2 linked regions of the Oryctolagus cuniculus genome follow. The protein of the gene in region 1 purifies or fractionates together with the protein of each later gene. This does not show direct contact. Links are inferred from orthologs where the notes say so. Each region holds a gene or a part of one and is shown on either strand. Other genes may lie near its edges. The genes, in order: TGFBRAP1 and VPS33A.

What was found.
Region 2: the proteins of TGFBRAP1 (region 1) and VPS33A purify together in Homo sapiens (co-immunoprecipitation; 5 studies listed by BioGRID and IntAct, with this or other methods). This does not show direct contact. The link is inferred for Oryctolagus cuniculus from reciprocal best matches to the Homo sapiens genes TGFBRAP1 and VPS33A.

Annotation. Positions count from the first base shown.
Region 1 is NC_091433.1:103,288,617-103,292,421, reverse strand, and holds part of TGFBRAP1 (transforming growth factor-beta receptor-associated protein 1), read right to left. Parts: intron 2,061-3,805; 5' UTR 2,047-2,060; coding exon 1,359-2,046; intron 1-1,358. UniProt on the Homo sapiens protein: Plays a role in the TGF-beta/activin signaling pathway. It associates with inactive heteromeric TGF-beta and activin receptor complexes, mainly through the type II receptor, and is released upon activation of signaling.
Region 2 is NC_091452.1:6,888,589-6,892,393, forward strand, and holds part of VPS33A (vacuolar protein sorting-associated protein 33A), read left to right. Parts: intron 1-805; coding exon 806-974; intron 975-1,976; coding exon 1,977-2,158; 3' UTR 2,159-3,743; coding exon of another isoform or gene 3,744-3,805. Other genes in the region: uncharacterized protein, read right to left, coding at 3,744-3,805.

The sequences.
Region 1 (3,805 bases):
CCGGGAATAGGGGGCGAAAAGTTAAAACCAGAAGCTGAGACGTAAGCCAGATTGGGATCCGTCTGATTAGCCCGGGGAGCAAAGGACGGGAAGCCAGATCGTGGGGCGGAGACGTACGCTGGGTTGAATTCGCCAGGCTAGCCCGGGGAACTTAGATTGAATCCTAGTGGCGGAGACGCAAGCTACGCTGTGTTACTCGCGGAAGCCGCCGCGTGCAGAGAGAGCACGGGGCGTGAATAGATAGGGAACGCTGGCGTAGGCCGTGGTTCAGACGCGAAAGGGTTAAGCGTGGAGACCGCGGACCGCGCAAAGCCGGGAAGCCGCGCAGAGAGGCGCGCGGGCTGAAGCGGCGCAGAGCCGGGAACCCGCCGGCGGGGCGAGGTGCCGGAAAGCCGTAGGGATAAGAGAAACAGAAGTTTGGAAGTGAAGTAAAAGAGAAATGGGAATGCTGGAAGATAGAAGTGAAATGGGAGAGGTAGGAATGCCCGGAGATAGAGAAATAGAGAAAAATAAGGCCTCCCCTCAACATGCCAATTAGAAGGCTTGGATTCGGTTTGCCTGATAGAGCTTGTAAGCCCCTGCAGGCTCGACCAGAGCATGCGCTGCAGGGCACCGAACACAGGCACGCATCAGCGCCTAAAAACCTCCTCACAATGGCGAAGAGAGGACCCGGATTCGGTTTTCCTGATTGATAGGACTTGTAAGAGCCTGTGGCAACTCTAGCAAGTACAGCAGAGTGTGTGCCGCGGGACACCGAAGACAGGCGCGTATCAACGCTAAAAAATAAAAAGAAAGGGGGATCTGTGGGGAGCAAACCGGACTAGACTGTTACTCGAATTAAGACTCATTCTATGCATCTGCTCTCCCACAATATGGCGCTGGGAGAGAAGTAAACAGCTTCCGCACAGCTGCCTCCAGTTCAACCAATTAACTGTAGGACTTGCTCCTGATTGGAGAGCAGCGTACTCAGCCGAGTTGGGATTGGCGGAGGAGGACTATAAAGGAGGAGAGAGACGGCATGCACCGGGAACATCTATGGGGAACATCTAAGGGAACCCGTGCAGCCCCCGAGAAAGCCGGCCGGCGGTGTGCCGCTCCCCTGCGGAAGTGGGGAATGCGGCCAGGGGGAACTGCCCTTCCACGGAGGTGGAAGGGATAGTAGCCAACCCGGGAAGAACCAGCAGCAAACCCGGGGAGGGCCGAGCAGACGAAAGAACAGCGCAGGGTCCTGTGTCGTTCCTCCACGAAGAGGGGGAGCGACACCTTTTCACAGCTAAAGCCTCACCCCTGGGACACCCCCCCACCCCCCCACCCAGGAGGGAGGGGGCGGGGCAGCGGCTCTAAGGCAATGTCCTCACCCAGCCCTCCCGGGCCCGCCAGCAGGAACTCCTGTGTCCCTATCCTCTTGACAATGGGCCGCTTCTCCTCGCTGCAGTAGGGAAACAGGTCCTGGGAGGCCCCCGTGCTGTAGTTCAGGATGATGTACTGCGTGGTGAGGGCCAGGCACAGGAAGTGGCCATCCACAGCCACGGCAAGGGGCTGCTCTGGGGTCGACACCTCCTTGACGATCTGCACCCGGTCCTCGTACACCAGGAACACCTGGATGGTTCGGCGTTTCACGGAGATGATGCACACTTCCACGCAGAACGGGTCCCCGCTCACGGGGTTCTCGTTCAGGGCGAAGCTCACGGCCCCCTTGATGCGGGCCCCCGAGGGCACGGGCTCCAGGCTCAGCATGTGCACCAGGGTGATGCAGCTGTCGCACAGCACCAGCAGCCTGTTGAGGGCCGAGGCTGCCCGCAGCTCGTTCACGGGCTTCTTGAAGCCCAGGTGTCTGTGCAGCTGCTTGGTGGCGGTGAACGTGGCCGGCCCGGCGGGCAGCGCCCTCTCCTCCAGCAGGAAGTGGTAAATGAGGCAGTCGTTGGTGCCCACGTACAGGTTTTTGCCGCAGCACTCGACGCACGCGATGTGGATGTGCTCCTTGTCGCCCATCAGCAGCTCGCGCTGCACGGCAGACACCAGGGTGAAGGCCTTGATGCTCATCATGCCTGCCGGGCTCTCTGCAGGAAGAGACGGGGGGAGAATTCACGTTAGCGGGGAGAAGGCGGAAGCAGAAGCATCAGGACACCCAGCTCCTCCAGTCCCCATTGCCAATGAAACATCATTCTGCACCGATTCAGAAGGCAAATTTTTCCTTGCCACCTCCCCCGTGTGCGCAGGTGCTTCTGATTGGCGCCAGCAGGCTCACTCCCAACACAGCCTAGACTCACGCAGAGCCGCCTCCCATTGCTCCTGGAGCCACTCCTGTGGGTACAGGACAAGCACATGTATGCACCCCGGGGACAAGCACATGTAGGCACCCCCAGGCAACCTGACAAAAAGCTCTCAGAAAAGGCAGGCTCGAGCCTCATCCATCTTCCCCTTGAACTTGTACAGCTACTTGTAGTTGCATTGAGCGAATGGTGGGACACAGCCACAGGATCCTGCTGGCAAACACAGAGGCAGGATGAGGCCTCGAATTCCTCTGTGTTCTTCCCAGGAAGGCATGCGCACTGGCCCCAGCTCCGTATTCCACTCCCCAGGTAAGCACGCTCATGTCAAGTCATACAGGTGTGTCTCAGTCTCCCGTGTCTTTAGGTAGCAAGTGAGCGGCTTTGTGGGCAGGTCCCTGGTAGCAATCAGATGACCTCCAGCAGAAGGGGGACACTGTGCCACAAGCTGGACCCTTGGCTGTCTGCTTCTTCCTTTGCAAGGGGTCCCAGTTCTACAGCAGAACAGGCAGCAGGGTGGCCCTTCTGCCTTTGTCGGGTTGCAGGCTCAGAGGCGCAGCCCCTGACAGCCCGCACAGGGGCACAGGGGCCTGGGGAGCTCTAGGCCACGCTGCCAAGCCTGGTGGAAGCCTGGGAGAAGCAGGCTGGGTTTGCATCAGAAAAGTTTTCTCCAGCACTTCAAGCTGCCCCAGAGGGAATGAGGCTGCCTCCGGAGAGACTCTCAACTCCTTAATCCTCTGAGGCGGCCTGGCAAATGCTAGGGGACCTCAGAGGCACTCCAGAAAGATTCAGGCAGGAGAAAGGGGAGGAATGACTCTCGTCGTCACTTGTCCTCTCATAGGTGTCAGAACAACTTGGGGTCGGCACTGTGGCGTAGCAGGCTAAGCCTCTGCCTGCGGGGCCAGCATCCCATAGGGGTACCAGTTCGTGTCCTGGCTGCTCCACTTTCCATCCAGCTCTCTGCTTATGGCCTGGGAAAGCAGTGGAAAATGGCCCAAGTGCTTGGGCCCCTGCACCTGCGTGGGAGATCTGGAAGAAGCTCCCAGCTCCTGGCTTTGGATCATCTCAGCTCTGGCCATTGTGGCCATTTGAGGAGTGAACCAGCAGATGGACGACCTCTCGCTCTGTTTCTCTCTCTGTGTGTGTGTAACTCTGCCTTTCAAATAAACAAACAAATCTTTAAAAAAAAAAAAAAAACTTGATCCTTCATTGCTTAATCAGTCATGGCAGTCCTTGAAAAAGCCAGGACACAGCCATTCTCCCATTTGGAATATGAATTCATGGTAGAAATAGACAAGCTTCAGACCTCCACAACCAAAATTCTAGCCACTGTCTTTGCTTAGCACAAGAGAGAAACTAAACAGCAACAAAGAATATTGGGTAAAGAATCCACATGGTGAGATGGGGGGAGACAGGGGAGGAGGAGTCATGAGAAAAGCATGTGCTTTGTGAAAAACCCGTAAGTCGGTAATATTTGAAAAGCAATGTAGTACTGTAACTACAGTTACTTGGCTGGCTGAAGGTTAAGTTTCCTT
Region 2 (3,805 bases), on another chromosome or scaffold:
CCCTTCTGCGAATTCTGGGTGGAAAATTGCGACTAGCTTGAAGATGTGGTTAGAAGCACCGGCTCACACCTACGGGACAGGATGCTGCGGTGGGGAGGATGCCCGCCTCCCAGCCTCGGCATGCGCCTGCTGCCCACATCTGCCAGGGGCTCACAGACCCAGCCCCGCTGGACGGCCTCCGGTTGTCTTCAACTTCCCCACCGCTTACGGGGTCTTGAAGATTTCCTGTGGTCTCCCCCTTCTCCTCCTTATTTCTTTGTAGTTGCTGGCTACTTAGTAGTTTTGAGGATATAGCTTAGGATTTAGCAGATAGAGGTTGAGGTTGTGTCCAGCCTTTTGCCATTCCATACAGTGTTTCAGTTCCTGCGCTTTCACTCTGTCCACTGTCTTAGGGCCTACAAACACTTCTGTAGGAGAAAAGCCCAAAGTACCCTAAAAGTACAGTGCTGGGTTCAAAGGTCGTGCATGATGTTACTTGGGGAGAGTGCGCTCAGTTACCCCCAGGGAATTTCTTGTCAAGCAGAATGGCAAGTTCTCCTGTGCGGAACCTGGGGCTGACTGCCCGGCTTCGGAGTCGAAAGGGAAGCTCTGGCTGCCAAGAACCGCGCAGCTGGAGTGGAGCGAATCGGAGCAAGCACAGGGTGCGTGTGCGTGTGTGTGCGTGTGCGTGTACGTGTGTGTAGAGGGGGACAGGCTTTGTATCTCTGCCTTCAAATACAAATCAAATAATTCTGGACTGCCCAAACAGCCGCAGTTCGTAGTCTACGTCTCCGAGTCTCCGAGCTTCCGTTTGTTTCTTTAACAGAACCCTACTGATATATCCTACGTGTACAGTGGTTACGCGCCGCTCAGCGTGCGGCTGGCCCAGCTGCTGTCGCGGCCCGGCTGGCGCAGCATCGAGGAGGTCCTCCGCATCCTCCCGGGGCCCCACTTCGAGGAGCGGCAGCCCCTGCCCACAGGGCTGCAGAAGAAACGTGAGTGGCGGCCAGGTGTGGCGCGGTGGGTGTGTCGTGCAGTTGCTGCGTCACGTGCTTGGGACCAGGACCGCTCTCGTGGTCGTTAAGTGCGAGAACCACGTCACTCCCTCGGGAGCAGCAGCCCCCGCCTCTGCGTGGAGGAACCCGCAGTTAGGAAAAGCCTGGAGCTGCAGATCGGTGTGTGTGAGGTTCAAACGCAGCGTCTTCCAAGACGCATCTGCCTTTTCATCCATGTGGAGGACAAAATGGTTTTGTTTAAGATTTATTTATTTACTTTGAAAGAGTTACACAGAGAGGGAGAGACAGAGAGAGAGAGAGATCTTCCATCCACTGGTTCTCACCTCAGATAACCACAAAGGGCAGCACTGGGCCAGGCCAAAGCCGTTTGCCAGGAGCTTCATCCAGGTCTCCCCCTTGGGTGGCACAAACCCAGGCAGTAGGACCATCTTCCACTGCTTTCCCAGGTGCGTTAGCAGGGACCAGGATCAGAAGCACAGCAGCCAGGACTCAAACTGGCACCCATATGGGATGGCGGCTTCTACCCACTATGTCACAGCACCAGCCCTAGTGATAAAATGTTTTAAAAAGTGGAAAGAAGGGCCGGCGCTGTGGTGCAGCAGGTTAGCGCCCTGGCCTGAAGCGCCAACATCCCATGTGGGCGCTGCTTCGAGATCCAGCTGCTCCACTTCCAACCCAGCTCTCTGTATGGCCTGGGAAAGCAGTGGAGGATGGCCCAAGTCCTTGGGCCCCAGCACCTCCATGGGAGACCCGGAGAAAGCTCCTGGCTCCTGGCTTAGGATCAGCACAGCTCCGGCCGTTGCAGCTACTGGGGAGTGAACCATCGGATGGAAGACCTCTCTCTCTCTCTTTTTCTCTCTCCCTCTCCTCTCTCTCTGTAACTCTGACTTGCAAATAAATAAATAATCTTTTAAAAATAAATAAAAAGTGGAAAGAGAAGCACCAATAATAGTTTCTAATTCTGAAATGTTCACATTTTAGGTCAACCAGGAGAAAACCGAGTCACCCTGGTGTTCTTCCTCGGGGGTGTGACCTTCGCTGAGATCGCGGCGCTGCGGTTCCTCTCCCAGCTGGAGGATGGAGGGACGGAGTACGTCATCGCCACCACGAAGCTAATGAACGGCACCAGCTGGCTGGAGGCTCTGATGGAGAGACCGTTCTAGCGCGTGCAGGAAACCCTTTTTGAAGAAGTTGCAGAGAGGAAATGAAACCCCGTGGAAGAAAACAGGAACACAGCACTTACTTTGGGGCCAGCTTCCTCCGTTATACTACTGCGTATTCCTTCCTGCTTCTCTCTTTATATTCCTAATTTCTTGAAGAAAGAAGAATAGGAAGGAAAAGAAATAGAAGGTAAAAGAGAAATTGAGTTTGCATTTTCCCAGCTGAGGGTCTTCAGTAGAGGTGGCTGGAAATACGGGAGGGGGGTAGCGAGAGACGGCCCCTGGGCTGCAGGCAGGCTGCACGCAGGGGCCCGGGTGAAAGTGAGATTCAGAGTGGAAGGGCCACCCCAGCACACAGCGCTGTTCGGGCAAGAGCTCCTCCTGCACTGGGCAGAGTTCCCTCGGGCGGCACACTGTATGCCGTGTCGCCAGTCTCTGTCGTGTCCTTCTGAGAAAGCAAGCTGCGTGTCCGGAGGTTAAACTCAAGAACATGGTGCTGAGGGAGCAGCTTTCTGCGATGCCACCGTCCAGTGAGGCGCGATGTTGCCTCCGGAACTGGGCGTGGCAGGTGCCTCTGCTGAGCCTTCAGTCCTTCTCTGTGTCCATCCATCCTGGGCCCAGTGTCCAGCTCGTCCCTCCCTCAACAGGGATGACTCTTGCTGCTTCAGCGCCTGGCAGGTCCGTCTCCCTGGTAACCACCTCCTGCCTTTCTCCCCACATCCATTGGCTTGTAAACATCCAGCCCAGTGTTTCCGTCCCTGGTCTGGTGACCTCAGCTTCTGCTATGCGTCCCCTCCGTGACCTTGGAGTTCAGCAGCTCCTGCTCCTGCTGCAGGAGACTCTTAGGCTGTGGTTGAGAGTGGGGTTGGTGGAGTGTTGGAATCCATTGTGTGTCCCTACCTCCCTCCTGCTCCACAGCAGGGACTGGAGGAGTGAAGAGCACGGAGAAGGGGGCCACGCTGATGGCCCCTGCCCACGTCCCCAGAACCAGGTGGGCCTTTGCACATTATGCCCCTCATCAGAACCACGTGATTTCCCCTGCCTTTGCATGGGTGGAGTTCTGATGAGTGCACTACACTGCATCTGATGAGTAGGACAGAAGTTCTGTGTTTCTTAAGCTTTATTTATTGGTTTGAAATGCACAGTGACAGAGAGAAGGAACATTAGAGAAAGATCTTCCATCTGCTGGTTCGCTCCCCAAATGCCTGCAAGAGCAAGGGCTGGGCCAGGCTGAAACTAGACCATTTGGGTCTCCCACAGGGGTGGCAGGACTGCAAGTACTTGGGCCGTCACCATCTGCTGTCTCCCAGGTGCCTTAGCAGGAACCTGGATCCCAAGTGGGGATGGCACTCAGTCCCAGGCACTCTGACATGAGATGCGGGGTGACCAAAGGGGTGGCTTAACTTCATCTCAAAGCTCGCCCCATGTTGTTTTTGTTTTTTGTTTTTAATCACTTTATTATAAGAATGAAGTGTGGTGGAGGTAATATTTAAAATATGAGCTTCTCATGAAATTAATTTGGCTTTGACATTTAGTATTTGGACATGCCAAACTGTTTCTAAAATGGAAAACCATTCTTTAGGAAAGCCTATTTCCAATACTTGCTCTCCCAGGGAGATTCGTCTATGCTTCCAGCCTCAGCTGCTTTAG